Linked DNA regions of Canis lupus familiaris. The protein of the gene in region 2 interacts with the protein of the main gene of each other region in a biochemical or structural test. Links are inferred from orthologs where the notes say so. Each region holds a gene or a part of one and is shown on either strand. Other genes may lie near its edges. The genes, in order: RAC1, ARFIP2 and ARF5.

Region 1 (9,503 bases), on a different chromosome or scaffold from region 2:
TGTGGTAGCAGCTGAAACTGAAAATGCAACCAGCCATAAAGTGACTTAGCCTGACCCCCAGGGCCCGGGGCGGGGGGGCTGGAGACTGAAGCAAATAAATTGCCTGTGATTTAATTAACCGTGCCTATGTAACAAAGCCTCTAGAAAAAAACCTGTAAGAATGGGGGGTGGGTGTAGCTTACAGGCTGGGGAGCATGTGGAGATTTGGGGAGGCTCCATGCCCCTCCCCCATACCTGGCCCTAGGCATCTAGGCATCTCTTCCATCTGGCTGTTGGGAGTCTATCCATCCTTTCATAACTGGTGATCTAGTAGGTTTAAAAAAAAAAGGGCATCACTTAGACATATGGAGAGAAACAGTTAAAAGAACTCAAATTGACTGCCTTTGGGGACGGTGTGAAGAGAGAAGGCTGCTGTTTTTGTAGCAAACCTTTAGAATTACATGATCTTTTTTTTTAATTCATAAGAGACCCAGAGAGAGAGAGAGGCAGAGACCTAGGTAGAGGGAGAAGCAGGCTCCCCATGGGGAGCCCGATGCGGGACTTGCTCCCAGGACCCGAGATCATGCCCTGAGCCGAAGGCAAACCTCAACTGCTGAGCACCCAGGCATCCCTAGAATTATGTGGTTTTTAAACTCTTTAAAAAATACTCAAAGCGATCTTCAGAGCAATAAAAAGGATTACTTAAAAAACTGATTCTAACATGACCAGTTCATAGTACAGTTTCAGGCTCCAGAAAGAATCTGATTCAAAGTCATCATTAGCCTCTTCCCTATCAGGCTGCCACCGTCTGCCTCAGCCCAGAGCTCTGGCCCAGGATGTATGCACATGCACCCCAGTGTGGATGTCACCTAGGTCTCCCCAGCATTCAGGAGGTGCAGAACCCAACCTGATTCCCCAGCTCCTCTCCAGGAGGGGCCCCTTCCAAGCCCTCCAGTATGAAAACATGCACTGGGAATTAGGTTTCCCACAACCCAGGATTTTCAGGTGAGACAACCGAACACACCCCAGGAAATTGCTCGAGCTCTTAAGAATTCAAGTATCACAATCATATGATTCAAGGATTTATTAAGTCATACATGCAAAACATACTGCTAATTGCATTAGCAAAAGATCAATGTAAAAACACTCCACGATTCTGTAACTGTCAATTTAAAAAATGTTGTTCTATTTTATTGGTTGAGAGGTCCAACCTTGTATTCTTGCCAGTGGGTAAGTCGTACAGAACTTCGTTAGCACAAGCACGGGCTTACAGAATGTCACAGACCCAAGGGAACATGGTCAGGCAGGGCAACGGGAAGCGTGTGTCCGGGGGGTGAGGCAGAGGAGGGCCAGCGTTAGTCAGGGGACAGTATTGGTGATCTGGCAAGACAGTGATGTTAAGAAAGTTCATAGTTTAGGAATATCTAAAATATTTCAAAAACTGTAAAGCTGCAACACATGATTTTTACACCTAGTTACTAGAAAACTAAGGAGAGTGCTTATTAGCTTTGAATAAAGTAACAAGGAAACAGGAATGCACTTTACTAATCTACAAAAAAAAATTTCTAATGCATTATCAGAAAGATTTTATAATACAAGGAGGCATATTGCTCGTTAAGAAGGGGTTCTATAAGAAAAGCACTAAGTTAGCAACTATGGGTACAACCAGTTCAAAGATGAATTAAATGCCCAATTTCAGGAAGGATGGCAGGTCTAAGAAAAAGGAAAAGCTTAAAACACTTAGTGATAATACCGACCTTTCTTCATTTACTGCATTTGACAGAAATTAACCTTTTAAAATTTTACCCGTGACACTTTTATTCAGTTTGATTATGACGTGTACAATGTAGTGTAAATTAACCTCCGGATTTTGTCAAAATACTGTCTTTATCCTTTGATCGCGTCACGTGCTGTGCCCCCCGCCCTCATTGGAGGAACATGGGAGTGAGAGGTCTGTTCAAAATGTCAGCAAAAGCGAATACACTAACTTTTTAAAAAAATTTCACTACAAAATCAAAAAGACTGATCCAAAGAATTGAGTCATTATGCTCCTTCCGTGAGGACATACAGTACAGTTAGGGCGTGGCCACGGGCTTAGATGGCAATGTGGCAACAGCTCGAGGAGGCTGTGCGGCTTTCCTACTGGAAACTAGCAAGCACAGGTCTGCAGGTCCAAACCTGAGACACTGCCGTCTCTTCTGAAGGACAGGGATCTTGAACGGTTTAGTGCTTAGTGTTCTCAGCACAATGCAACTTAGTTCACAAGGTATTTTGGCAACTCTTAATCTGAGCAAGAATAGGGGCTTTTGAAAAATAAGGCTTTAAGAAAGCTGGCCATTTTAGGGCTAAATTTTAATGTGAAAGTTTGAAGTCTTACACTTTAAACAAAACCTAAAAATTACTGATTGGTTCAAATGGTTTTATGGAAAAACTAATCTGTAACAAAAACTTGGCATTGAGTGCGAAGGCTCCACCATTTTTGAGCAAAGCGTACAAAGGTTCTGAGGGGGATGGGGCAGGGGAACCCAACATTTACAACAGCAGGCATTTTCTCTTCCTCTTCTTGACGGGAGGGGGGCAGAGAACCGCTCGAATAGCTTCATCAAACACTGTCTTGAGGCCTCGCTGCGTGAGAGCAGAGCACTCCAGGTATTTTACAGCACCTGCCGAGAAACACAGCCTCATAGCCACATGTGGAGCCCACCCTTCTGTCCAGGAGGAGGGCAGGAAGCAGCTCCCCAGGCCCAGACTCCTGACAGCCCGCTGGGCACAGCAGAGCAACCCCTGACCTGCACCCGGAGCTCACCTACTGAGCGCTCACACTGAGAGCTTTGCCTGGCTGGCTCCCCAGAAGTCAACCATAGCCTGAGTCAGAAAAACATGCTCTTTACTTCCCACAGACTGGACTCCTGTCTCTGCCATGAAAATAAAAGCACGTGCAAAGCAGATGTGAAAATGCAGATTTCCTACCGATCTCCTTAGCCATGGCCAGACCCTGTGGGTAGGTGATGGGAGTCAGCTTCTTCTCCTTCAGTTTCTCAATCGTGTCTTTGTCGTCCCTGAGATCAAGTTTAGTCCCCACCAAGATGATAGGGGTGTTGGGACAGTGGTGTCGCACTTCAGGGTACCACTAAATGTAAGAGAGGAAGAGAGTCACCACACCCTCCCTGATGAACCTCTTTTGCCTAAATTACATCCCCACAGGTGTCAAACTGTCAGCCACTCCTTAGTTGCTGCAGAGTCCTCAACAAGACACAGCATCCCACCCTTCAGCCCTGCTCACCTTGCAATACCTTCCAGAACCACGGGCCTACCTGTGGGCATTCGAATAGCAAGCTGGGACTCCCAAGAACAGGCAAGGAGGGAACATCCCCCTCCCCCAAACCACTACCTCTTGGTAAAATGAGTTAAATTCTTAGATGGTCTCTTGAGAAACCTCCCTATTCAGCAAAAAAGTCAACTATCGACTGAGGTCTCAGCTCTGCCACCATGAGCCCCACTGAACACATCCCTGACCACAACTGGAGGACATCCTGCACATGTCATTTTTCACAAGTGACCAGGGCAGCAGTGGAAAGTCATGGTCACTATTTTTATTAGACAACCCCATCAGGCAGACTCCAAAGTGCTCACTACTTTAGCAAGGAACAAAGCGTTTCTGAATCAGGCCCTGAAACTTCAGAACTCTACATAATAAAGTCATATACTTCAAAACTGATTTGCTACCTAAGTAGAATTACAACATCAATTTAAATAATTAAAACTCCTATCACCAAGTGTTATTTTTGCTTCCCAAGGAGACATTACATAACAAGATGTTCCTCTAAAACATTCCCCACTTACCTTTGCTCGAACATTTTCAAATGATGCAGGACTCACAAGAGAAAAGCAAATTAAGAATACATCCTATAAAAAGGAAACAGGGAGGCGTTTAGAAATGGTCTTACAATGATGAATGCACTTTGCTTTGTAAATGCTGTTGGGAATGAATCATGAGACGAACTGCGTATATGTACCAGCAGCTTGTGTCTAAAGCTTGCTTCCTGGTTCCCCCCTTCAGTTCTGTCAGAAGGCTCCCAAACCAGAGCCAGCACATGAAGCAGCCAGTTACTTCTGAAAGGGGGGAGAGGATTTACTAGAATGTGCTCAAATTTACTGGAGGCCAGGGGGGACCTCAAATCAGAACCCCCAGAGGCTTCTTCTCCATCATTTCCAACTCCCCCTGGGAATTTATCCCCTCCACCCCGGAATTTAATGTTCCTATTATATATAGGGACAAAATCAAGCTACCACTCCAATATTTCTGTAAAATGTGATCTCCATTTATCAAAAGCAGAGTTGATTTTAAAAACCTTTATCAACAGTGTGCTTTTCAGTAAACTCCTCATGTGCACATTAAGTACATGTATAGTGGACCACTGGGGTGCAATTAAACTGCTGCTTTAAGAACTGCCACCAGAGTCCCTTGGCCCGGAGTGGGGCTCAGTGGTTTGCTCAGTGAGCACAACCACTGTGCAGAAGGGCAATCTTGTGTGTAAGTGGCCTCTCCTGGCTATCAGCTTCTCAATCCCAAGTGGGGTTCTCTGCAGGACTTAGAGCGTGCGGCAGTGGCAAAGTGGAGATTCAGAGGAAAAGTCAGTGCAGACTAAATACCTGGAAGATTTTCTGACTGAATGTAAAACATATCTCCCATTCTGTATTGTGTAAGAAGCCAAACTAAAATATTTACCTGTACTTAAAAATGCTTAAGAGTTTCTAAAATGCTAGGTTTATAAGACATTTTCCTGGAAAAAGGCAGCTATGCTTTGTGAAATGTACCCAATTCCCAAGCTAACACTTTCACCAATCCAGCTGATGTCTTGTACCTGGAAAGGGAGAGAAACATCCCACACAACAGCTTTTTTAAAATGACATTTTCCAAACGCTAGCGCATGCACAGGCTCGTCCAAGAATCACCTCGGCATTTTGGCACCTGATTACGTCACTTCAAAGCAAAGGTGGGTTAGCTCACCAGCACCGCACAGCCATGCCGCAGACAGGCCCGCACACCGGATACCACAGCGGAGGAGGCCCTGGCAGCCACGGTTAGTCCCCCTTGGGCTCAAGCATGGGCTCCATGGTGGGCTTGGGGCAGGGGGCTCCACACCTTCATCTCCAACCCGCCTGAAGAGGCCCCTTCATAAAAGTTCCTCCTTCCCCTTGGGAGGAGGGGAGCAAGCAGTTCACAAACCACTTTAATTCAAGCTAGTAGGTAAACTGTCTCGCTCTACTGAAAGCACATTTTATCAAACAAAACCCCAACCTTGAGTGAATTAAATTTAAAACACTCAAGGAACATGAGGCTCAACAGGAAATTCTGGGAAAACTAAGTGAAATGAGAGAACAGATAAAGCTTGAAACTGAAGTGGATTGAAAGTTTTACATACGGCAATCAGCTTGTCTTTGCCCCTGGAGGGTATATCCTTACCATACGTTTCTCCAACCTAGTAATGCATGAGAACTTTGTCTGAGTTTAGTAAAAACTGAGGAAAATGCAAGTCAATATAATCCATTATTTCTTCATCAGAATTGTCTCAACCCTCCTAAAGGATCTGAAAGCAACTGACAAATACCACCAAACAGTTCATCAAACCCTGTGAAGGTCAACGAGGGTGAAGACAAGATGTCAGGCAGATATGGGGAAGGAGGGGGGCACTCCTTTCTAGCCATGGCAGCGCACAGAGGGTGTGCTTCCAGCAGAAGCCACAACACGCCTGAGAAAGCACACGGGTCACGTCCAGGTGAGAAAGGTTAAGGAAGCACCCTTCCTTACCGAAGGGGTATCCCTGTGCCACTGCTGGCTCCCACTGGCAATAGGCACACCTGTCACAGCTCTCCATCCCAGGTCTGAGACCTAAGCCCAGCTGAAGCCGCCGCACGCAGGAAGAGCACCTGTCTGTAAACACAGGCCTCTCAGACGAAGCACTCCCCAGGAGCACGGCCCAGTCAGAGAGCTGTGAACACGGCCAGCCTCCTGTGTGCAAGTGCTGGTCCTCTCTTCCCCCAAATCCTGGGAATGCAGTTTGGATTTAGGGGCCTGAATTACTGGAGTAAATGCACTGAGACCTTTAATTCCCCCCCCCCCCAGCTTTGGAGGGGAACGCCCAGAAGGGACAGCATTTCTCATGTTTACCACAGTGCCATCAATTCATTCCTTTGTTCCGACAAAAATCGGAAAGACTTGCTCTTCAAGCAACACAGAAACCTACAATTTTTTTTAAGAGACAGATGGACAAGAGAATTTTTTAAATTTCATCTCATTTAAGTCTCTCTGATCTACAATTCTAACAACATGAAAGTTGCCCTAATTATCCTGGGTTTAATCTATGGGCGACTTTTGAAGATCTGTGCTCCCAAGGCCTTGACATGCCACCAAATATTTATTGTGACACAAAAACTCCTGGGCATTGGCCACAAAAATGCAGCCTCAAAATATCCTCCAACCATATCTGTTCTACCCTTTCCAATTTTTAAGAACATTTTTTTTGAAGAAGAAACATGCTTTCCATCCTACATTAACATTACGCCATCTGCCTGTTCCTTTCTCCTCCTCCTTCCCCCAGCCAAAATATGGCTTTAAAAAATATTTCTAGGGGGATCCCTGGGTGGCGCAGCGGTTTGGCGCCTGCCTTTGGCCCAGGGCGCGATCCTGGAGACCCGGGATCGAATCCCACATCTGGCTCCCGGTGCATGGAGCCTGCTTCTCCCTCTGCCTGTGTCTCTGCCTCTCTCTCTCTCTCTCTATCATAAATAAATAAAAATTAAAAAAAAATATTTCTAGGGGCACCTGGCTGGCTTGGTCATCAGTTAGGCATCTGACCCCTGATTTCAGCTCAGGTCATGATCTCAGGGTCATGGGCTCCACACTGCCTGCTCAGGATTCTTGCTCTCCCTCTGCCCCTCCCTATCCTCTAAAAAACAAAAAAAGCAAAACAAAAATCCTAAAAAAACTAGTTTTCCTAAAAAAAAATTAATTAAAAATAAATAAAATGTCTTATGCTTCTGACACTTATCTCTTCCAGCAGCAAGTCTTTCCCACCTCGGCCTTCTAAACCAACGCCCTGCACAGAGTCCACGCTGCTCATGGCTGGCAGGGCATCTCCATGTTAACGCCTGTCCTCGCAAACCCCCGAGCTCCAAAGCAGGGCCTGGCCTGCTCAGCCTTCCTCCCAGGGTCACCGATGTGCTGGAGCCTCTTTACTCACCTGAGCTGTCCTGAGCCACAAGCTTACCTCTCCTCTAGCTGCTTTCCCCATGCTGGCAGGACACTTCTGACTACACATGCTCCCACCCAGCCCTCATTACCTGTGTATCACAAAGCAGGTCTCCTCCTACATGTGTGAAGGGGGACCATAGAGAGACGAGTGGCTCCTAGCAGGATATGAGCAGACAGACTGTGGGGTGGTGGGGCTCTTCTAGATCCTCCTCTCCGAGGCCTTCCACCTGGCTTTTACTTTCAGACTTGGAATATTTTTTACTACGGGTATTCTATGAACTGAGAAAAGCAGCATGAGACACACAAACAGGGCAAAGACACTACGCATGTGGCATCCAGGAGGAGCTAAGAAAACATGCTCTGGAGAAAGCGAAGAGCAGCCCTGACACCTGGGAGCCAGCCCAGTGCTCACAGCTTGGTTATGGCAAGTTCCCATTGAATGGGACCATCTCCCAGAGTGCTGGGGTTAGAAGAGGTCACTATTTGACCATGCTGGCATGAACACAAAAATAAAGAAATAAATAGAAGAACACTTCACAATCTTGTCTAACCTCAAATACAAGGTCACCGTACAAATTATAAAAACACCAAACATCCCCCTCTCCCAGACAAGGGGACTGCATGCCTATCTCTGCACCAGTCACGGCTTCATCCCCACCTTGTAGAGGAGATTAGGGCATCCCTAAAACTACCCTGCTTCTAGCCAGCACCCAATCCAGAGCAAGTTCTGCCTTCTCGAGCCCCCAGGTGGACGTCCGGCTCAGGGCAGAGAACAAACCCAATTTCTTTCAGCCACAAGTGTGTTCCCAATAACCTCTGGCTGGAGGACACAAATCCTGTAACAGCCAATTTAAAGTAGAAAGCCATATGAAAATCAAAATAGCTGAGACACCTGGGTGGCTCAGAGGTTAAGTGCCTGCCTTTGGCTCAGGGAGTGATACCAGAGACCCGGGATCGAGTCCCACATTGGGCTCCCTGCATGGAGCCTGCTTCTCCCTCTGCCTCTCATGAATAAATAAAATACTAAAAAAAAAAAAAAAAAAAAAAAAGGCCAAGCTAAATGCTACTGTTTTTCTTTTTAAGCATCAGTAAGCAGCCTAGCCCTTCTCAAGGTGAGCTCACACAAACGTCCCGGCTGACCCAGGCACAAGAGGCCCGGCACGTCAGCCAGCAGGCTGGGTAATGTTGAGCTTTCTCAGAACCCACACAGAGCTTGTTGTGACTGGCAAGTCCCAGGTGTTCCCACTCACACCAAGTCCCGGAACAAGAAGGCAAATACAGCCCTGCACGGACCATACCACGATGGCGAATAGACCAGCTGAAGGGGAGTGTGCCGAACTCACAGGGTATTTTCAAAGAGCGTGTTAAAGTAACTTATTCAGAGATGGAAGAGCCTGAAGGATTACTTAATCAAGAAAAACAAAAACGTGAAGGATAGTTTCTCCTGAAAAGGACCACCCGCTCGCCATCTTTTGGAAAACAAAGTAGAAACAAATGCTTCACACAGATTTAACTTCGCTACCCAGAGTCACCCTACAAACAAGGAGAACAGCGTTAAATGACCACAGGAAACAGGATGTTTCTGGGTCACAATGTCCTAAGTAAGGGGTGAGATCTGGGTAAGAAATGGTCCACTGTCCCTTCAGGAGTATCTGAGCACAGTCATGGATGAGTCACGGAGTCCCATAGACCAAAGAGCCAAAAACCAGAGACCAGGTTCCAGTCAGTGCAAAGTTTAGAGGTGTCCCCTCTGCTGAGATGCCAGCCTGTAACCACCAGGCCTGTTGCTCTCAGTAGGACAGCATTCAGGGCCTCCCCCCAGAAGCCAAGACAATTTCCTCATCCCCAAAGAAGCCAGCAAGCACGTCCTTAGTGGCAGGATGGCCACTCTCCTCTTTGCTCTAAGCACCAGGACACCCCCTGTGCTGGTACGTGGTATGTTACACACCTACATGTGTGAACTACTGGAGGGCAAGAATCATGCCTTCCACCCGTTTAGACATTCAAGTATTTGACAGGAAACTAGCACCTTGTACAGATGAAACAAAGTTTACAAAGTCCTGCCCTAGAAGGACAACACCCCCACCCACTTGGATGTTGGGCTTCATACCTTGCAGCCTGATTCAATCTGCTACTTTATCTCTGTGTTCTCTAGCATACAGAGTGGGAATCTTGCCAAGTCACCTTTGACTTACTGTGAATGACTCCCTCAGAGAAAAAGGCCGCACCCTGCCCGGACCCCTTGAGTCACAGGAGGTGGTTCTCATTT
Region 2 (10,248 bases):
CAGGGCTCTAAGCACAATTAAACTGGGTGGGTAGGAGAGGGGAAGCCCATTCAGATGCAGGGCCAGAAATGGGGCTCCCCATTCTCCCCACCCCTTTGGTCCCAGTCCCCCCTTCTCTGCAATGGGGACGCATAGAGGAGGGACAAAGGGTACTGGAGGCAACGTCATTGGCCCAGGGGAGCCCGAGAAGAGCTGCCATTGGCTGACAGGGCCTTTGAGGCTCTGCCATTGGTCAGGGGGCACACCCCAGGAGCTGGGGACAGGCCTGAGGAGTGATGCCATTGGCCAAGGAGTGGTTTTGTCATAGCCTTTGGCTGTGGAGTGGAAGGAAAAGATCTGGGAATGAAGCCCAGAGGCCAGGAAGATAAAGGACAGGGCAACAGCTGCTGGCCCTGCAAGCCCCCTCCCTACCCACAGCAGTGTGGGCAAAACTGGGTGTCAGGCCCCAGCCAGGGAAACGGAACCCAAGCCAGAGGGCAGGTGGCAAGGGAGGTCCCATGTCCAATCTCCCCCACCCTGGGACTGCCTCTCCCAATGTCCTTCTTGATAGCCAGGGTTGGTTAGAAGCAGCTCACTGCTCCTCTAGCCAGGAGGGCTTCTCAGCTCCTGGAGGCCGCAGCTTGATGTTGAACTGCTGCAGGGTCTGCTCCAGTTGTTTCTGATTCCCAGCAAAGTAGGCTGACACGGCATTGTGGAAGAGCAGCAGCTGCTTGTGCATCACCTTGATCTGGGGGTCCAGCAGGGTCAGCTGAGACTGAACTCAGATGCCCTTCTTGAGCCTGAGCCCAGACCAGGGGTAAATGGACTCTGCTCTGATGGTGCTTTAAGGGTGGGGGCTGACCTCCACTAAGGGAGTCAAAGGATAAGGGTAAATCTGATGGGAGAAACCTGATTTGATTTGCCCAGGCCTGGGGTTCTGGTACCTCAGCTCAAGGGACGATTTTTCCCCAGTTATGTTCCTGGGACCAGCAGTCAAATCCTCCAACAGAAAAGGGCCAGGGACTAGAGGGTGGGTAACTAGAAAGGTCCAGGAATTAAAGGGGTTGGGGGAAGATCCCACCCGTAAGCCAGGCTGCATTTCCCCATCCAGTGATGGGGAGGGTCTTAGGGGTAGGTCAGTGTTACAAATGGGAAGGCGGGCTAGGGTCAAAGGGGTGGGGTTGGCACCTTGTTTTCTTCCAGGAACTTGAGCTTGATGGCCACATCTCCCCGCAGCTTCTCATATTTGTCCCGATGGGCCTGGAAAGTGGCCTGGGCACTCTCGAGTCGACCACGCGTCCCTGCATCCCGGGGGCCTAGGCTCAGCTCCTCTAAGTCTGTTCGATAGGCATCATATTCCAGCCTGGGGAAGGGGTGATACAGGCTGGTCTCCACCCCTGTGTCCTCCACACATACTCTCCTTTCCTTCCACAATTTTTATGACCTCAAACTTCCACCCATGCCAGCCAACTCCCAAAACCCTGGGCCCTGCTGGTGCCCACACCTGGCAGCCTCATACTGTTTGACAGTCATGAGAGTGTCTTCCATGGTCTTGGTGACCAAAGTGTTGATGCTAGAGACAAAGAAGTTCACAGCCCCTAGCAGTGTCTCTCCATTCTTGCACAGCAGCTTCTGTGTCTCTGCATTGTAGCCAAATTCCTCCTGAGGGCAGAAGGGGAGGATAGGCCTTGAGCAACAATTCCTACCTAACTAAAGCTATAGGGCCCTCATTCCCCTCCTCCCCCAGAAGGAAAGAGCCATCAAAACTGGAACAACCAAGGACTGCTCCAGCAAGGCTCTCTTAGCCAGAAAGTTATTGGGGCCACCCCGGGGATGGCTGGGGTAGGAGTATGGGAGTGGGTTCTCAGATAAGTTCACAGGACGAGAACAGGGAAAGCTAGTGCAGCAGGCAAGGGGCGGGGAGGGGGGCTCTGATTAGGCCGAGCACCGATGCAGAGAAGGGTTACTTGTGAGGCATCTAGTGTGCCGCCTCCCCCACCCCTCCAACTTCTGAACCTCTGTACAAACCCTTAGGCTGCCTCCACAGGTGAGTGCTGCTGGGGGTAGGGCTGGGCCTACCCTGGAGGGGTTCTCCCTCTGGGCTGCAGGAGGGAGGGAGGGAGGCTGAGGGCTGACTGCCTGGGAGGGCCCGGGCCCAGTCCCCCCACCCTCTTTGGCCTGACCAAGGCACCTGAAGCTCTGGGGACTTCTGGCTGAGGTCAGCAAAGGCGTCACCTAGTGCATGCTGGGTCTGCAGCAGGCTGTAGAGGTGGGCTGTCAGTGCCCGGCCCAGCTGCAGGACACTCTCATACTTGCGCTTCGTCTCACGCAGCAACTCAATCTGCAGCTCTAGCTCCAGGTCCACAGTCCGGGAGCCTCGGCCAAATCGCTCTGATAACAGCTGCTTTGTGCACTGATTGGGAAGTGGGGGAATAGGTCAGAGACCCTAGCACCCTGCCCCCCCAACAGGTATCTACCCTAGCATCCCAAGGCTCCTCGTCTCAGACAAGGATGGGAGAGTGGAATCTGGAAGATGGGGAAAAGGTACCCAGGGGAAGTCTGGGGAAGGGGAAAGGGAAAGGTGCTTAAATCCCACCTTATATGTGTTGATGCCCCATTTCTTGACGATGTCAAACTTTTCTCCAGCGATGCCCCGAGCCACCTCATCTCCCGGGCCAGCAGGAGTGGTACTGTGAGATGGATGGCGGCCAGACCCTAAAGAACCAAGTTCTTTGACACCAGCCTCTCTGATATAACCAGACATCTCTGTGGCTCCACCCATACTTCCCACCGACCCCACTATGAAATGACTTTCCACCGACTTCCCACCATGAAAATGACTTCTCTGAAGTAGCAGAAACTAGAAATTCTCCTACTCACTAGGAAGAACTCATACCTTGTGCCCTGAAACCCAAATCCCAATATATATCTGGCCTCCTCCTGAGATGGTGATGGGGGCTGGAGTGGGGGGAGGGAGGGAGTTGCTGATGTACAGGGGCAGAGAAAACAGAAGAAAATATGCTGAGTATTGGGTGGCAGGTCAAGGATGGTGGGTTCCTGACAATAGGAAATCTCATTGACGTTCTCATGTGGAATCCTAGTCAGTGTGAAATTCAGGGCTATTTGCTTCTCTAAACTTGAGAATCTGAAGCAAAACTTTGAGAAGCTTCAGAGTTCCAAATAAGTCTCAAGCTCCAAAGCAGGAGAACTTCTGCAAAACAGTTCGTAATGTGATTCAGGTGGTGGCAGCAAAGAAAGGACAAATGGACACATCTCAGGGCTAAATGGCAAGCGGGAGCAGTTGGACAGCCCTAGGCTCTAGCCTTGGGCTGAGTAGAGTCCATTGGGCTTGTACTAGCAAGAGTTCCCAAAATCTCCAGACATAGTTCAAGCTATCTTAGGCATATCCTATACTCCCCAGAACCATTCCACTCCCTCTGTCCATTCAAGCTTCCTGTCCTGTTCTGATCATTCATACCTGTGGGGATGAGTCCATCACCAGAGCCCCCATAGCCACCAGACACAATGCTGGTTTCATTGAGGTTGGGTCCTGACACCATCACCTGCTGGAGGTCCTATAGGCCAGAGAAGAGGGGGGCTTCAGGAACATTGGGGCAGCTGAAGCATTTGGGGGGTGAGAACAAGCTTGGATTGAAGCATCACAGAGAGAGCACACAAGGGAAGTCTGCATAGAATCAGAATGAAGATATGTAAAGATTGGAGGGAGTTAGATAAGTTAGGGGAAAACTCCTGGAATGGGGTGAGAGCCCAGGGCTTATGATTTTGGACTCCTAAATTGAAACAATATGGAGAAGAATCAAACAGAAGCACCTGCTCCAGCCCATCATCCTCAGGAAGCTGCCCGGCTTCACCGTTCCCGTGGATGGGGATCTCCATTGTGGCTGCCTTCCCTAGGATCCCGTCCGTCATGGCTAGGGAAGGGATTGGAGTCAAAGTCTCCACCCCAGCGCCCTGCAAAGCCCAACACAGACAGTTCTGGAAACTAGCCAGTACTCCCGAAAGAAAAGTCTCCCCCACCATTTCAGAGATTTTAGAGGTTGTCCCAAGACTTGAGTATCCTGGGGTTCGGCCACCACTCCTTTCTTCTCGTAGATATGTATTTCTCCCCTCCAGGGTGTGTATCTTTCCACATGCACACCCAGGTCCCCAGTATCTTCTCACGGACCCCCAACCCCACCAGGACTCAGGTGATCACTCATGCGTTCAACCATTCAACAGACTACTATTTGAGGTCACAGCAGTGGCCAAGGGAGAGAAAGTCTGTGCTGTTTTGGAACTTACCCCCATGCAGCTGTTTCCTCCCATCAGATTAACCCCTTTCCAGGGCTCAGGAGCCTACTCCTCCCGCTCTGGTATGTTCTCCATTGCTTGGCCTCTCACACTCCCTTAGGGTTGCTTCCCCTTTCCTTCAGGTGGTCTCTCCCTCCTCCATCCCATGCACCCCCTCCTCCTGCAGCCCTCCCCCTGCAGGCCCTAGTTGAATCAGTTGGTGTCCGTTCTTGGCCTCTGGGAAAAGCCACATTTTCCCAGCACATAGTGATCCCTTCCAAAGTCAGTTATGTCCCCCAGGTGTGTTAGTCCCCGCCCCCCCCCCACCCCACACCTGGGCATCAGGTGTGTCCTCATCCTTCCCCAGGGCTCTGTAGCATCTTTCCCTCGGGGCAGGCTCGTGCATTCAACTTCCCCTTGCCCAAGTATGTCCTTCTCACCTCGGGCCGGGCCGCTCTTCCCCTCAGGGCGCCAGGCCCGGGCCGCGCGGGGACCTCGGGCTCCAGTTCCCGTCGCGATCCTAGCAGCAGGTCAGGGACTCGGCGGAAGTGACGTCCCCTCCCGGGCAGAAGAAGCCGGCCACGTCGCAGACTATAAGGGCGGAGATGACGTTAAAGCCAGGGGCGGGGCGATCCTTGAGGCAACCCCTCAGTCCCCGGGGAGCCAGGAGAGGTCACTTCCGGGGCGTTACCAAGAGGCTGTGCGGAAGTGACGTGCGTGCGCCGGTGGCGCGATGGAGCCGCAGCAGCAGCAGCAGCAGCAGCAGCAGCTGAGGAACGTGAGTGGGTGCTAAGTCGCGACGGGGCCATCAGTTCAGCTGGCATCTTCGTCCGTTTGGCTGGAGGGCGGAGGGTTGGGAACGTCGCGCTCTGGCGCGCCGTCCTGGGAAACCTCGAGGGCGCGGCCTCGAGGTGCCCCCTTATCGCTGGGCTCTTTGTCCCCTTCTCTCCTAGTTGCGGGACTTCCTGTTGGTCTACAATCGGATGACGGAACTCTGCTTCCAGCGCTGCGTGCCCAGCTTGCACCACCGAGCTCTGGACGCTGAAGAGGTTAGGTGGGGTTCGCCGTAGACTGTCCCCAACCTCCACCGCCCCTACCTCTGGCCCGGGCCTTTCCATGACCCTTGCCCCTGGGCCAGGGATGGGACGGACACCAGTGGACACCAATGCTTCACCCTGTCTTCCTTCCAGGAGGCCTGTCTGCACAGCTGTGCTGGGAAGCTGATCCATTCCAACCACCGCCTCATGGCCGCTTACGTGCAGCTCATGCCGGCTCTGGTACAGCGCCGCATCGCAGACTACGAGGCTGCCTCAGCTGGGCCAGGTGTTGCTGCAGAACAGCCCGGAACCTCACCATCAGGCAGCTAGGAAGGGAGGCGCTGGATGGACCCTCAAACTGAAGGAGCCAGTGGACCTTGGGCTGGATGCAGCCCATATATAGAGTGAGGGGTTGTCTGACAGCTGGGTAGTATTGCTCCTTTTCTTGGAGCCAATAAACCCACTTTTGCACTGTTTGATTTATGTTCTGGGCACGGAAGCTTTGCCCGCTTTATTGGCCCCATCCTTTATCCTGTCAGCGCATATCTGTTGGCTTCAGCCCTGGCAGTGGAGAAATTGGCTTCTATGTGTAGAAGGAAAACCTCAACATTTCCTGGCACCTGGTTAAAACAAGGCCTGTGGGTACAATTTTTTCTTTTGTAAAGAGTTTATTTATTCACGAGACACACAGAGAGCGGCAGAGACATAGGCAGAGGGAGAAGCAGAGGCTCCCTGTGGGGAGCCCGATGCCGGACTTGATCCCAGAACCCCAGGATCCTACCCTGAGCCAAAAGCAGACGCTCAATGGCTGAGCCACCCAGGTGCATCTTACTTAATTCTTTCTTTTTTTTAAAGATTTTGTTTATTTATTTATGTGAGAGAGAGAGAGAGAATGAGCAGGGGGAGGGGCAGAGAGAGAAGCAGACTCCGGGCCTAGCAGGGAGCCAGATGCGGGGCTTGATCCCAGGGCCCTGGGATTATGACTTGAGCCAAAGACAGACACTTAACCAACTGCACCCAGGCACCCCTGTGGTACGATTTTAATGTTAGTAATAGCAATAGGAAGTTGGTTCCTGCCCAGATGGCAGAGAAAATAAGAGCTCTTCTTGTTGTCCTTCACTTAAATCTGACTTAATGGTTTATTTGTGAGCTGGGTGTGCATTCATTTATAACTCTTTTCATGGGCTCTAAAGAATTCTCCTAAATTTAGGGGAAGGAGGAGATACCTAAGAATAACAGATCAAGAAATCACAGGGTTTTTGTATGCAGTGCCTTCTGGAAAGTCAGTAGCCCCGTAACTGAAATGAAACCTGTAAGATTTCGGGGTGTTCTGGAACTTCAGCCATTTTCCCAAGTTGTTATTTTCTTATTATTTTCTGTCTTCCCCAGGATGAGCAGTAAAGCTTTTACACAAAGAAGGTCTGTGTGCTTGTCTTCAGGAGCAGTCAGAAAGGGGGAACTTGGAGGACCATATTCTACAATATAGCCAGACCCAAGGAACAAAAGCTCAGGGGAGAAATAGATGATGATGGTTATGGGGAAAAAGATAAAACAAATCCTTGGGACCTCTTTATCGTTACCTCCAAGTCTATAATCTAATTCCAGCTCTTCTGTCCTCTACCCATCATTGTTTTCATTGTCCCGGTTTTGTTATTTCCATGCTGAGCCTCTCTATCTTTCTCTCATTTATTGCCCTCATAAAATTTACTTGTGCCACCATTCTAAATGGCCTATCACCCCATCACCGCATTTTCTTGCCTCCCTTGTGTCCTTTTTGTATCATTCCAGCTGTTTTACCTTTACTGTTCTTCTGTTCAGACTGCTAGACAAAAACACAGCTGTGTAATGAGTGGCACTAACCATTCAAGGTCTCCAGCGTCAACCAACAAGCAACCCTTTGTGGCTTCCTGGTATATTTTTGTCTCCTAATCACCAAGGCAGTTAGTTTACACCTTCACTGCTCTTATCCCCCATTTCACGTTCAGCTATCCTCCATCAGGGGACCATGTTTCATTTTTTACGGAGGAAATGGAAGCTCTTAGACATTGGCTCCCATAAAACTCCTTACAACTACCCACAAAGCAGACATTTTTTCCCCTATGTGGATCAGGAAGTTGAAATTCTCTAGTAGCAGACTTTATTAAGATACAGATTAAGATATTAATCTGTATCTTAATATTAAGATATTAATATCTTTTTAAGATACAGATACAGATCTGGCTTTAAAATCCATGCACTTCTGGGCAGCCCCAGGGGCTCAGTGGTTTAGTGCCACCTTCAGTCCAGGGCGTGATCCTGGAGACTGAGGATCGAGTCCTGTGTCAGGCTCCCTGCGTGGAGCCTGCTTCTCCCTCTGCCTGTGTCTCTGCCTCTCTCTCTCTTTGTCTCTCATGAATAAATAAATAAATAAATAAGTAAATAAATAAATAAATAATCTTTTTTAAAAAAATAAAATCCATGTACTTTTTATTACACCAGGCTGCCTCTCAAAATACCATTGAGCCATCTGATTTGTATGGGTTCCAGTGCTGGTATATGTCCTGCTTTATCTCAGCCTTTTTTTTTTTTTTTTTTTAGATTTTATTTATTCATGAGAGATGTAGAGACAGAAGAGAAGCAGGCTCCCTAGGCTGCTGCAGGACTCGATCCCAGGACCCTGGGGTCACACCCTGAGCTGAAGGCAAATGCTCAACCACTGAGTCACCCAGGCATCCCTATTTTAATCTATAGCAAAACTACAAGTAAGAGATATTATTCCCCACTTAATGGATGAGGAAGCAAGAATCCAGAATGTATCAGAGCCCCATGTTTACGTAGTTACCTCTTGAGAAAAGTTGCTCCAAATGGCTTTTCATCTCTTTAGTTCCTATATCTTCAACAGATGGTTGCTAGGAATGTACAAGCTGCTGACCAGGAAATTCCCTACTGAATGGGTTTGTGTCTACTCATTAAAATTTTCTCCTTGGAACGTAAAACTTCAGCTAAAGCAGCTTGTGAACTTAACCAGTTCCAAGACAGGAATGGAGACCTTGAATACTGTGCTGCTGGTGGGAGGACTCTTCCGTGGACATTTGCGTGTATCCTTGCAGTAAATTTCCATTGCGAATCATCTGTTTCCATGTCACATAATTACTACTTGCTGGAGCAGGGCTGAGAAAGATCTGTCTTGACTCTAGAGGCTATGTTCTTTGAATTTCCAGAATTTATATTTGTTTGCTCATGTGCACCCAGCCTGTCCCTAGGGATGAAAAAACAAGTATCCATCAATTAATCCCTTAAGTTTTTAACCTCTTCTTCCCTCTCTGTTTATAAATACGTTCAGTACGTAGAAGAACTCTACTGTTGCTACCTATCTCCTGTAGTCACTGACATCTTCCTCAGGTCTCATCATAAAGTGACGTCCATTGGCGTAATGAAAGCAGTGTGATGTTTCAAGCATGACACAAGAATTTTTTTTTTTTTTAAGATTTTATTTATTTATTATGAGAGATACAGAGAGGGAGAGGCAGAGACACAGGCAGAGGGAGAAACAGACTCCATGCAGGGAGCCCGACATGGGACTTGATCTCGGGTCTCCAGGATCAGGCCCTGGGCTGAAGGCAGCGCTAAACTGCTGAGCCACCTGGGTTGCCCACGACACAAGAATGTTAACAAAGCTTTATCCCTTATCACATCATTTTGGAGACAGAGTTGATGTTCTTGCCATTGTGACTTCAGAACTTAACTGCCTATTCCTTTGCAAAATCAGATTCCTTTGGGCCTATTGAACTATACTACCCTTCCTCATTACTGGTCCTTAGGAACCACTGCTCTCCTACTTTCCTCGAAATGGCTAGCCCTTGGTTTTCCTATCAACCCCTTGGTACTTTAATGTTACTGGATAGTCCATTCAGTATTTTGGTTTCTCAGTCCCTTTTCTCATTCTTCAATAATTTCCACTCTGTCTTATCCACCCACTCCCTTAGCTATGTCCTAGCCATTGTCATTTCCCCCAAACTGCTCCATCTTTAATACACTATTTACTGACTATTCCTTCCACTTTGTTTATTGATTTATTCCTTTACTATTATTCTTTGGTTTTGCTGGAGCATTCAAACCATTGATTCTACCTTCATTCCATTAACACCTCTGTCTTTAGATTCCTATCCAGCTTAAATTCCAGTCATTCTCTTGGAACAGGCTACTCCTGTTTTTTGTCATCTCTTTGTTGGACTCAGATAAAATGAGGTATTTGTCTGCCTGCATTTGGACAGCTAAAAGCTGAAGGAAATCACTACAGAGCAGATTTATATCACTGAATTTGTGGTTACCAGCATCAAATGGAGTCTCAACCCCTATAATCCCACTAGATTTTTCCAGTCTCCGATGCTCCCTGCAATGACTTTTTTGAATCAATATTCTTAAGCCTGTTATTACCCTAACTATTCTCTTCAATTTTGTGCAGGTAACTTTATTTTTTAATTCATAGGTTAAAAAAAAAAAAAAAAAAAAAAGCTGACAGTTGGGAGCTACCACAAAATCTCACAACAAAACTTGGTCACCCACCTGTATCTGCATCTTTCTCTCATTCCCTCCATCTAAGCAGGGCAAACATGCCAATGCCTATTCCTGCTCTGAATTCTAGTCCTTCTTTGGGAATCTCTGACTTTTTCCTATTTCACTCTATTCTCACCATCGTTCAAACATGCTAGAAACTCCCCTGTTACAACAAACAAACCACTTCCTTTATTCCTCTCTAGGTACTATTATTTTCCACCTTACAGCTTAACTTCTTAAAACAGTTGGATACTGTGGCTCTTCCCATTCCCGTTCCTCCACCCAGTCTATTTTGACATCAATCTTTATTCTATTGAAATTGTTCTTGATGAGGTCACCCTGGCCCACCAAATGACTTTCATATCCCTGAATTCAGTGATGATTTCCCAGTCCTCACTTACTTCAT
Region 3 (10,159 bases), on a different chromosome or scaffold from region 2:
GATCCTGCCCAGCTGATGAGCCCAACCCTCAGCTCCTCAGGGTTGGGTCTTCGTGTCCACTCCACCTCATCCATGGGGCCGGCACCACAGGTGATGACTCTGTCCGGCCCTGCCTTCCCCCCAGTGGTGCGGTTCCACAGGCCATAGGGCCTGGAATCAGGCCTGTAGTACCCACCAGAAGAAGTTCCCGGAGAGAATTTCTCAGGCAGAGGCTGGCCTAGGGCCCAGCACCTCTGTGACCCGGGAGCATTGTGACTGTGAAGGCTGCCTCTTATCCACAGTGAGGAAAGGGCACTGGCCTGGCAATGTCAATCCACAGCCCAGAGGAAGTAGGTCTAGGGCTTCTGGCGTTAACCTCCCACGCAACTCCAGACACCAAGGTAGGCTGAGCTGAGACTGGGAATCAGAATTTTGGCCTGTGCTGGTGCTCACCTGTGACTATAGGCAAACATCGTCTTCACTTGTTTCCCATTTTAATCACAGGATAAAAACCAGCCTCTTTCATCCCTAGGAAGTAACTTCTGCTTGGCTCCCTTGGGACTCAAGTGTTTTTTAAAGTTCAAGATATCCAGGAAAAATCTATTAACTTTTACAGCCCTTGGGAGAATGAGGCCAAAATGTCTCAGAAGGTACTTTTCAGGAAATGTGAGGAAACCCTAGATAGATAACCAGCAAGGATCAAATTACTCATATTCATCAGAAAGGGCTAGCTCAGAGCAGGGGAAGGAAAATGTTCTAGATGGGAAGAGCACTGGGCATCTCCCTCAGAATCCCCAGCTGCACTGCTGCTGGGCACATGGCTAGTGCACCCTTTCCTTCAAAGGGTCCCTGTTGGCCAACAGCCTCTGGGACTCACTTCTTACAAAGCTCATGGAGAAAATCAGTCCAGAACCTAGAGAAATTGACATGAAAGGAGAAAGGCAAGAAGAAATAATGGTGGTGATGGTAGGTTTTAAGCTTTGCTGGGATTCAAAGAATGGATAGTGTGAACCACACTTGGACAATAGCCCACCCTCCTGGTTCCATACATACATTTTCCTAGGCCTCCGTGGTGGGGGTGTGGTAGTACAGGGCAGGGGTGTCTTCCCAGGTAGGAGGTCCAGTGCACAGTGAGGAGCTTTCACCCCCAAGGATTAAAAGGGTCCTACCAATGTTTTATAAAATAAGGCTAAGAGACTACTAGTGACACAATCACCAGTGTAATTTTAAAGATTCAGATTCTTGGGCTTCAGACCAGTCCTTATGAATCATATTTCTTGAAGTACACCTCAGGACCGTATTTTTAATAAATATTCCCCCTCCTCCTCCATATTAATGTTCATAGTAATCATTAAGAACCACTGCTCTAAGTAGCTAGGAGATAGAGAGGAACAGAATGTATGGGATTTACAGATTCACGAAGGTAGAGCCTGTTTACTCTCAACAAAGCTCCCCTGGAATTGGGGAGGGAATGTGGTACCTGAGGTACTTGTACCCTCGAGAATAAGGAGGGTGAAGCTGAGCTATATGAAGGCAGCAGTGTGTCCGCAGGCACGCTGGTGGGAGGGTTGGCGCCTACAGCCTTAGCTGCTTTGAGTCTCCCCCATATCATATTGTCTCTTTGTACCCAACAACACCCCCCCCCCCATTCTAGGCTACAGACAACACTGTGTAGAAACCACAGCAAATTTATTACTCAATATCCATCATAGCACCACCCGGAGCCCTCACCTCCCCTCCCCACCTGGCCCCAAGGGTACACCCAAAATGGAAAAAACAAAAGTAAACCCAGATCCCTGCTCCTCCTCTGGAAGAAAGGGCCTCAGCCCTGGAAGTCCCTTCCACAGTCCGAGCAGGCAGGAGAGCAGACCCCTCCGTGCCCGGAGAGTGAGACTCCAGGCTCAGATGACAGAGACAACATGCAGGCAGGAGCAGGAGCAGAGGCCTGTGTCTGTGGGAGAGGAGTGGGAGGGAAGGGCACCGCCTGAGGAGTCCGGGAATCTGGTTGTCCCGGGGATGCACGCGGGAGCTTCCGGGCAGCAGGGGCCGGCCCCTGGTTGGTTAGCGCTTTGACAGCTCATGGGACAGCCAGTCGAGCCCATCATACAAGCCTGTGCCTTGGGTGGCACAGGTGGCCTGAACATACCACTGCGGGGAAAAGGAAAGAATGATCAGCAGCAAGGAAGAAAAGGGGATGCCCTGACTTCCCGCCCCAGCCTGTGGCTCCCTTGGGAGAGGGAGCACCCTCACCGTGCGGCTGCGCAAATGCTGCAGCCCCAGCTTGTCGGTCAGCTCGCTCACAGGCATGGCGTTGGGCATGTCCTGCTTGTTGGCAAACACCAGCAGCACCGCATCCCGCAGCTCATCCTCCTGCAGCTGAGGGAGGTGAAGGGGATGGAGTCTGGAGTCCTAGCGGAGTCTCCAGGCTTCCTCTTCCCCACTGTGTAGGGGAGCACCCTTTCCTACCTCCTACCAGATTTGTGGGAAAAAAAAAAAGTAATACTGCGTAGTCTACTGCTGAACACAAGACAGAGTCATAAATCAGCTTGGAGCCATTTGGACTTATATCCAGAAAGACCCTTTTTCTAATGACTTGCCCTAGTCAAAATGACATTTCCAAATGGGAAAACAAGAATGTAAGATGATATTTCTCTCCACCACATATAATTCCTCCTTTCCCCACCAACTTCTCAGATATGAAGACATGAAAATTCAAGGAAAAAGTCAGTCATATGCCTTTCACCCAACTCAAATTCAAAACAGGGTGAGATACTCCTTGTGTCTGCATCCACAAAGGGAGACATTCAAAGCCTGTAAGCTATTTCCTGACTTTCATGTTAGCACAGAGATCTCAGAGATCTGTCTCCAACGAGGGCTCAGCAACCAGGGCTCTGGGTGCTCACCATCTTCTGGAGTTCATCAGCAGATTCCTGGACCCGCTCTCGGTCATTACTGTCCACTACGAAGATGAGGCCCTGGGTGGGAAGGAAGAAAAGACAAGCAATCACTCTCACCTGGGACATAGCCTAGTCTGGCTCTTTCTCTTTTCCCCATCTTTGTGTCTAAACCTTCTCATCTAGTAAATTTTCACTAAGGTTCTGCAGACATGCTGGCACAAACTGGCGACACCCTGCGAAGGATACAGACTCTGCCCTCAGGCAAGCAGTGTAGCTAGAAGAAGTGCAAGGGAACAGGGAAAGATGAGACCAGAGCTAAATGAGGCAGCATGAGTGCACCCAGCTGGCTCAGTCAGTAGAGCATACAACTCTTGATCTCGGAGTTGTGAGTTCAAGGCCCACATTGGGTGAAAGCTTACTTTAAAAATAAATAAATAAACGAGGCCACATGGCCTCAGATCCCTGCTTCTCAGGAGATGCATAAGGTGGCTAAGTCTCAGAAGACTATGGCCATTTCTGAAGGATGAATAGAAGCAAGCCTACAGATGAGAACAGAAGGAGGTTAAGGTTTTTTTTTTTTTTTCCTGGCTTGGGGGCCTATGCCAACATCTTGGTTTGGAGCTCTAACACCTTTTCTCTGGGGGTTGGGGAGCCCCACCCCACCTGAGTGTTCTGGAAGTAGTGCCGCCACAGAGGCCGAATCTTGTCCTGGCCTCCCACGTCCCAGACTGTGAAACAAATGTTCTTGTATTCTACTGTTTCCACATTGAAGCCTGGAGATAATGGGGAAAAAATATGAGAACAAAGTCCTGAAAGAAAGGAACTCATTAAATCTGGGTGGATTCATCAGAGACATATAAAACCAGAAGGCAACGACGAAGTCCCATGGGAACAGAACCGCAGAGGACCGGCAGTCCACAGACCAGGCGGGGCTAGGTCACATTCACCCTGCCTCGGCACCATCCAGCAACTAAAGGTAACTGTGACCCACTTCTCAGGTGGCAGTGTCTGGTGTCAGGGTCAGCTCACTGCACGGAGATAAGGGCCTCAGGCAGAATGGGGAGCAGCCCCTGAGGCGGCCTCCCATCAGCCTCCCGCTCCTCCCCGCCTCGCCTCAGAACTCACCTATGGTGGGGATGGTGGTGACAATCTCCCCCAACTTCAGTTTGTACAGAATTGTGGTCTTGCCAGCTGCATCCAAGCCAACTGCAACGGAGAGGGGCATAGGGATGGAGACGGGAGCGAGGGAGCCCTCTAGAGATCAGGGAAGGGGAGAGGCCAGGACAGCTGATGGAGACTGGGGCGGAGAGCCCTAGCGCCTGCAGGTGCGCGCTGTCCTCCACCTTCGAGGCCTTGAGAGCAGTCTGGGTGGTGAGCACCAACTCGTGCCCCGAAGCGGGCGAGAGGCGGGAGAGGGGTAGGGGTAAGGGGTCGAGGAGGAGGGCTGCGCTCCTCTTAAAAGTCGTCTCCAAGGGCGGAATCCTCCCTTCTTACCAGCCTGGCTGGGGCGGAGGGAGCTTCACCCCACCCAGGCCCGCAGCTCCCGGGCTCAGGCCCCGGGGTCGGCGCTGCAGATCGCGACCCGCCCGAGAGCAGTGACCGCAGGGGGGTTAGGCGGCGGGTGACTCGGGTTCAGAGACCCGGCTGAGCTGGGCTCGGAGGGACGCGGGGGCGGGAGGGCTGCGCGGGGGCCGACGCTCCGGTCCGGGCCGCGCGCTTGATCTGCCTCACCCATGAGGATCCGCATCTGCTTCTTCCCGAAGATCCGCGAAAAGAGCGCGGACACGGTGAGGCCCATGGCGGGGCCCGGGGGAGGGGGTGCGGGCTCGGACGCGGGGTGCGGGCTGGAACCGGCCGGCCGCTGGGGGATGGGGCGCAGCAGCAGGAGGAGGAGGCTCCGCCGCCGCCTCCGCGCGTCCCGGCCCGCCCTACGTCATCGCGGCCCCGCCCCCGGCCGGGCCCCGCCCCCGCCCCGCCCCTTCCCCGCCCCCAGGCTCCCGCTCGGGCTAAATCTGAAGCTCAGCGAGTCTCCGCTTGCTCGCCGCGTCCCGCGCAGGCTTAAAGAGGGGAAGGGTCTGGGTTTCCCCTCGTTTCTCGAGGGCCGGCAGATCTGTGGCTGCTTCACCGGCAGCCCGAGCGGGGCCGAGGAAAGTTTACAATGCTCCCCAACGGCCCCTGACCCTCAGCTTAAGTGGCCGGCCTCTCGGGCTTTGGTTTGTCGCGTCCAGCCCACCCTGCTTTCTGGTTTAGTTAGCTCTAGCGAACTAGCACCATCCACTGTATGCACCACCCTCCTAGGGGAGCGGAAGCTCTGTGATGCGTCTTAGTCTGCTTTGGCCCCTCAGCGCCCAGAGAGGGGCTTTGAGCGTTGCAGGTAGTTCAAGTGACTGTAGAATCTCGAGAGGAGTGAGAAAGAGAGGTGGTGGAAAAAGGGTGTCCAAGCGCTAGCTGGCCTTCTTGGTTTTGCAATCAGCATGTTGTCCTGCATGCTGGACAACAACGCCTTTGCGTCGATGGCCCCGGGCACAATGCTTTTCAGTAGATCCAGGCAGCTTTTCTGAAGCTTCTTCACTTTGCCAGAGACCTGGGAACCCGGATTTTTAATGCACACCTATCCAGGAATTTATGAAACTCTTGTGGCTTTAGACTCAAAGTGCTTCGTAAGTAATTTTCCCACTCAGCAACCAAGGGGGAAATAGCAAGACAGGAATTAATTTAAATTGTGTCTATGGTTGAGAGTGGGTCAGTGCCAGGCACCTAATATATGCTCAATAAATACAGTACTTGCTGGTTTGAATGGACTAATAGGCTGCTCAGTGGAGCAAGGACAAGCAATTTGAAACTGGATTGCCAGGAGGCTTCTAGGATCAATTGCTTAGGGACTGGACATGGTGAGGGGAGCTGAGAGTCAGAGAACCTTTATTCATTCAGTCACTCAACAAATATTGAATGCCCACTATGGACCATTGTTCCAGGTCTCAGTCAAATCTCAGTTCTGTCCCCACCCACCCCCTCTTTTGGAGGGTTTAGCTTCAATCCTCACAACTCATTTATTTTCTACAGAAGGAAACTAATATCTGCCCTATCTAATGAGGTTATGGTGAAGATTAAAATGATAATATATCTGTATGTCTGTATGGTGCAGCTGGATGTTATCTGGGCCACTAAGAAACTAATTAGGTCTGAATAGACCTCCAGGGTCTGCCCCATCCTGACCTGAAAAGTCTGTAAAGAGAACAGACTCTGGGCACTAGGTATGAGTGAGTCCATGACTTTCCTTTACTCTTCAGCCATAGACTTGCGTTCCTAAGAAGGCTTTTTACAAGGTTGAAGAGTGCATTTAAAAGAGTCTCGATATAATAACTAGTGACCGAGTCAGGTCAGTTCTACAGCTTTTTTAGCTCTTTTAATTAGCTTCTTCCTTTGCCCTATTGTCATTGCCCTATTTCATTACCATATCCTCTTCCTTAGGACAAAAATAGTGTCCTTACCAGTCGGCTGCCCCTTGGTATCTTCAACCTGTCATACAAGTCTGGATGATGCCACTCAAGATTAAAATTGTTTAGTGTCTTCTTAGCACCCAAGATAAAATCGAAAGGCCTTAATTTGTCTCCACCTATTGTGCCAGCCCCATCTGTTGCCACCTCCTTCACATACCCTAAGCTACTGCCATGAAATGATTCTCAATGCTTCCTGGGTAAACCAGCCTCTCTGATGCTGTAGGAGTCTGTTGCAATCTTTCCCCTCTACCAGGAATGCTTGTTTCCCTCATCTTTAGTTAGATGGACAATTGCTACTCATGCTTCAAATCCCTGAGTATTTTCCCTGAGAACATTCTCTGCCTCCCCTAGACAGGCCGCCCTCCTCTTCACTTCCATGTCACTTTGAAAATCCCCATACATACTGGTATCAGAGCAGGACTTGTGTTTGTAACACTAGATAGAAGAAGCACCTTGAGGACAGGACCTTATCTCTTCAGAGTGGTCACCTGGAGCAGCACTTGGTGAGAGTTAGACACATATAGGTAGAATTCCTAGTTGTGTGACCTTGGGCATGTTATTTAACCTGTGTCTCATGTTTCCATCCACTGAGCAGAATAACTCCAAGGGCTTAATATCAAAACTCTCGTGAAGGTCCTGGAATACAGTTGGCACATACGATGAGGGTCATGGCCATAGGGTGCTCTCTACAGATATTTGTTGAATCAACTCAGCAGAACTCAGGAAAGGTGCTAATAATTTTTTTAAAGATTATTATTTTTAAAACTTACTTATTCATGAGAGACACACGGGGCGGGGGGCGGGGGGGGGGGAGGGGAGAGGCAGAGACACAGGCAGAGGGAGAAGCAGGCTCCATGCCTCCATGCCTCCCTTCAGGGAGCCCGACGTGGGACTCGATCCCCAGACCCCAGCATCACGTCCTGGGCTGAAGGCGGCGCTAAACCGCTGAGCCACCCGGGCTGCCCAATGTGCTAATAATTTTTATACTATATACCTAATAGGTGCCAAAACTGTCCTATCAAGGCTTACAGTTTTCGTGGTCTAAGTGGGAGTCTTACTTGTTGATCTTTAGCGACAGAGCTAAATGTGGGGAAGCGTCGCTCATCCGGGTGTTTGAGGAGGACCCAGCGTGACGCTGCGCACTGCTCCTCGCTCATCGGAGCCCGAGGGTGGGCTCAGGCGCCCCCACCATACCATTATCACTCCGGAATCCGGGCTTGGTGGTCCGGCGCTCGCAGCCGCTCTGAGCTCTGAACAGGCCGCCTCCCACCCACCGGCCGAAGTAACTCCACCCGCCACGCGCCCCCTGGGGGGCGGGGCCAGCTGCGTCACGTGTCGTCACTTCCAGCGGACCCGGAAGCGCCGTTCTCTGGCAACTGCGGTTAGGAAGTGGGGATGGGATTGCGCTCCGTTTAAACTCTTGGCCGGCCGTGGGCTGAGGGCCGGCCGGGACTGCTGTGGCCTGGGCGAGCGCGGAGCGTGGGGCGGCTTCTGGGACAGTACAGGCGACCTCCGCCGTGTGCTCCTGGAGCCCGCGTCGCCCCGCCTCTAGGATCGGACCCGCCCCCGCCCTCGGTGCCTGGGACCCCGCGGGCGCTTCTGCCCGGCTGCCCAGCGCTCTGCATCCGGTCTCCGACAGCGGGGAGGAGCGGGTGTGCGGCTTCGGGGACATTCCGTCCCTGTCGTTTACTGCCCCCGCCAAGGTCTCCGCGGGCCTCTTCTGACTGACGTCGAGCAACCCGTCCTGAACATGGAGAAGTTTGGCATGAATTTCGGGGGCGGACCGAGCAAGAAGGACCTGCTGGAGACCATTGAGACGCAGAAGAAGCAGCTCCTGCAGTACCAGGCACGTCTCAAGGATGTGGTCCGCGCCTATAAAAGTCTACTGAAAGAGAAGGAGGCTCTAGAGGCCAGCATTAAGGTGCTGTCGGTGTCCCACGAGGCGGATGTGGGCCTCACAGGCGTCCAGCCTCCAGGCCTCTCTTTCCCTGACTCTGCGGATGACCGATGCTCCACTCACAGCGAAGATAGCACTGGGACAGCCACGAGCTTGGATACTGCGGCCAGTCTCACCAGCACCAAGGGTGAGTTTGGGGTAGAGGATGACAGGCTGGCTCGTGGCCCACCACCTCCAAAGTCCGAAGAAGCCAGCGGATCAGAGAGTGGCGTTAGCAGTAGCAGTGGAGATGGAGCATCTGGGGGTGGAGAAGTGGACAAACGGCTGCACCAGCTGAAGACTCAGTTGGCTACTTTGACCAGCTCTTTGGCTACAGTCACCCAGGAGAAGTCTCGCATGGAAGCTTCTTACCTGGCTGACAAGAAGAAGATGAAACAGGACTTAGAGGATACCAGTAAAAAGGCAGAGGAGGAGAGGGGCCGTCTGGAGGGAGAATTGAAGGGGCTGCAGGAGCAGATAGCAGAAACCAAAGCCCGACTTATCACCCAGCAGCATGATCGGGCCCAAGAGCAGAGTGACCATGCTGTGATGCTTCGTGAGCTCCAGAAACTGCTGCAGGAGGAGAGGACTCAGCGCCAGGACTTGGAGCTTCGGCTGGAAGAGACCCGAGAGGTCCTGGCGGGGCGGGCATATGCAGCCGGTCAGATGGAAGGGTTTGAACTGCAGACCAAGCAGCTGACCCGTGAGGTGGAGGACTTGAAAGGTGAGCTACAAGCTCTTCGAGAAGAGAAGAATCGGCCAGACCCTCGGCTGCAGGAGCTTCAGGAAGAGGCCGCTTGCCTTAAGAGCCATTTCCAGGCTCAGTTGCAGCAGGAAATGAGAAAGGTAATTATTGTCATGTCCTTCAAACATTAGTCATTTAGCCTGAAGTGGAAAACATTAGGGTTTTTTCTCCTTTGGTAATTAGAATTAAGTGGCTGCACTGTTGATTTTTGATGCTATTCAGAGTGTTGCACTGGGAAATATGGGAAATCCTGGAAAATCTGTTCCGTGGGGTGTTGACAGTATCCACAGAATGCACTTCCAACAGGATGTGGACTCTATTAGTGTAAGGCTGGTTTGGAGCCAGACGCCTCTGAACTTCTGGGCAGTGGCATCTTACCAGCTGTGCTCTGTGGAGCATTAGAGTGGCAGCTGTGCGGTGAAAGGAGTGTGTATGCCTACGGGTGTATGTATTATTTAGGTAGTGGTATATGCCTGGGGGATCAGGAGGTGCAAAAGGAATCTTCTCAGAAGTACCCTCTTATAATTGCTTCTCAACAGTTTGCCTGTTTAGGAAAGATGTGCTATTTTACAGTGCTCCTTTCAGTGTGGAGAGAGATCCAACTGAGTTGTGAACTTCTGAGAATATTGGGAGAGGAAAAGAATGTCATGTGATTTCTTAGTAGGATTTGGGGAAACATGATAAAGATAATACGCTTCGAAAAAAAAAAAAAAGATAATACGCTTCGTATGTGAGCCTTGTTTATGGTAGGAGAAACTGAAGCACTAAAGCAGAACAACAGATTTACAGAGGTTCTTAATATTGTTTGGTATAACGTACCTCTGGGAGCAGAACCCAAACGGGTTATAGGAACTTTCGTTAGTATCCAGATCAATAGAAAAATCCCCAGTTTCCATTCTTTTTAGGTCATCCCAATCCCATGACCCTTTTGCTCCCCTCTCCTGCTTTCTCAGTTTGCTATAGGCATTTGTGGCTTTTTGGGGATGCATTTCCATCTGTTCCTTTGTTTTACAGACAGCCCTTGCAGAAGATCAACTGCGGCAGCAATCTGAGGTAGAAGAGCAGAGAGTGGCGGCCCTGGAGAATCAAATATCTGAGGTGT

What was found.
Region 1: the proteins of ARFIP2 (region 2) and RAC1 form a complex in vitro, tested with the Homo sapiens proteins (2 studies listed by BioGRID and IntAct, with this or other methods). The link is inferred for Canis lupus familiaris from reciprocal best matches to the Homo sapiens genes ARFIP2 and RAC1.
Region 3: the proteins of ARFIP2 (region 2) and ARF5 form a complex in vitro, tested with the Homo sapiens proteins (2 studies listed by BioGRID). The link is inferred for Canis lupus familiaris from reciprocal best matches to the Homo sapiens genes ARFIP2 and ARF5.

The regions. Positions count from the first base shown.
Region 1 is NC_049227.1:11,834,183-11,843,685, reverse strand, and holds the end of RAC1 (ras-related C3 botulinum toxin substrate 1 precursor), read right to left. Parts: intron 3,886-9,503; coding exon 3,823-3,885; intron 3,110-3,822; coding exon 2,950-3,109; intron 2,643-2,949; coding exon 2,512-2,642; 3' UTR 2,374-2,511; downstream 1-2,373. UniProt on the Homo sapiens protein: Plasma membrane-associated small GTPase which cycles between active GTP-bound and inactive GDP-bound states.
Region 2 is NC_049242.1:30,301,469-30,311,716, forward strand, and holds the start of ARFIP2 (arfaptin-2), read right to left. Parts: upstream 4,861-10,248; 5' UTR 4,710-4,860; intron 3,952-4,709; 5' UTR 3,910-3,951; coding exon 3,811-3,909; intron 3,555-3,810; coding exon 3,458-3,554; intron 2,695-3,457; coding exon 2,576-2,694; intron 2,393-2,575; coding exon 2,171-2,392; intron 1,642-2,170; coding exon 1,484-1,641; intron 1,343-1,483; coding exon 1,168-1,342; intron 728-1,167; coding exon 572-727; 3' UTR 1-571. Other genes in the region: TIMM10B (mitochondrial import inner membrane translocase subunit Tim10 B), read left to right, coding at 5,003-5,047, 5,223-5,318, 5,460-5,636. UniProt on the Homo sapiens protein: Plays a role in constitutive metalloproteinase (MMP) secretion from the trans Golgi network. May have important functions during vesicle biogenesis at certain cargo subdomains, which could be predominantly utilized by secreted MMPs, such as MMP7 and MMP2.
Region 3 is NC_049235.1:8,596,648-8,606,806, forward strand, and holds ARF5 (ADP-ribosylation factor 5), read right to left. Parts: upstream 4,781-10,159; 5' UTR 4,675-4,780; coding exon 4,608-4,674; intron 4,083-4,607; coding exon 4,002-4,082; intron 3,650-4,001; coding exon 3,540-3,649; intron 2,955-3,539; coding exon 2,883-2,954; intron 2,356-2,882; coding exon 2,230-2,355; intron 2,128-2,229; coding exon 2,041-2,127; 3' UTR 1,650-2,040; downstream 1-1,649. Other genes in the region: FSCN3 (fascin-3), read right to left, coding at 1-74; GCC1 (GRIP and coiled-coil domain-containing protein 1), read left to right, coding at 8,127-9,158, 10,072-10,159.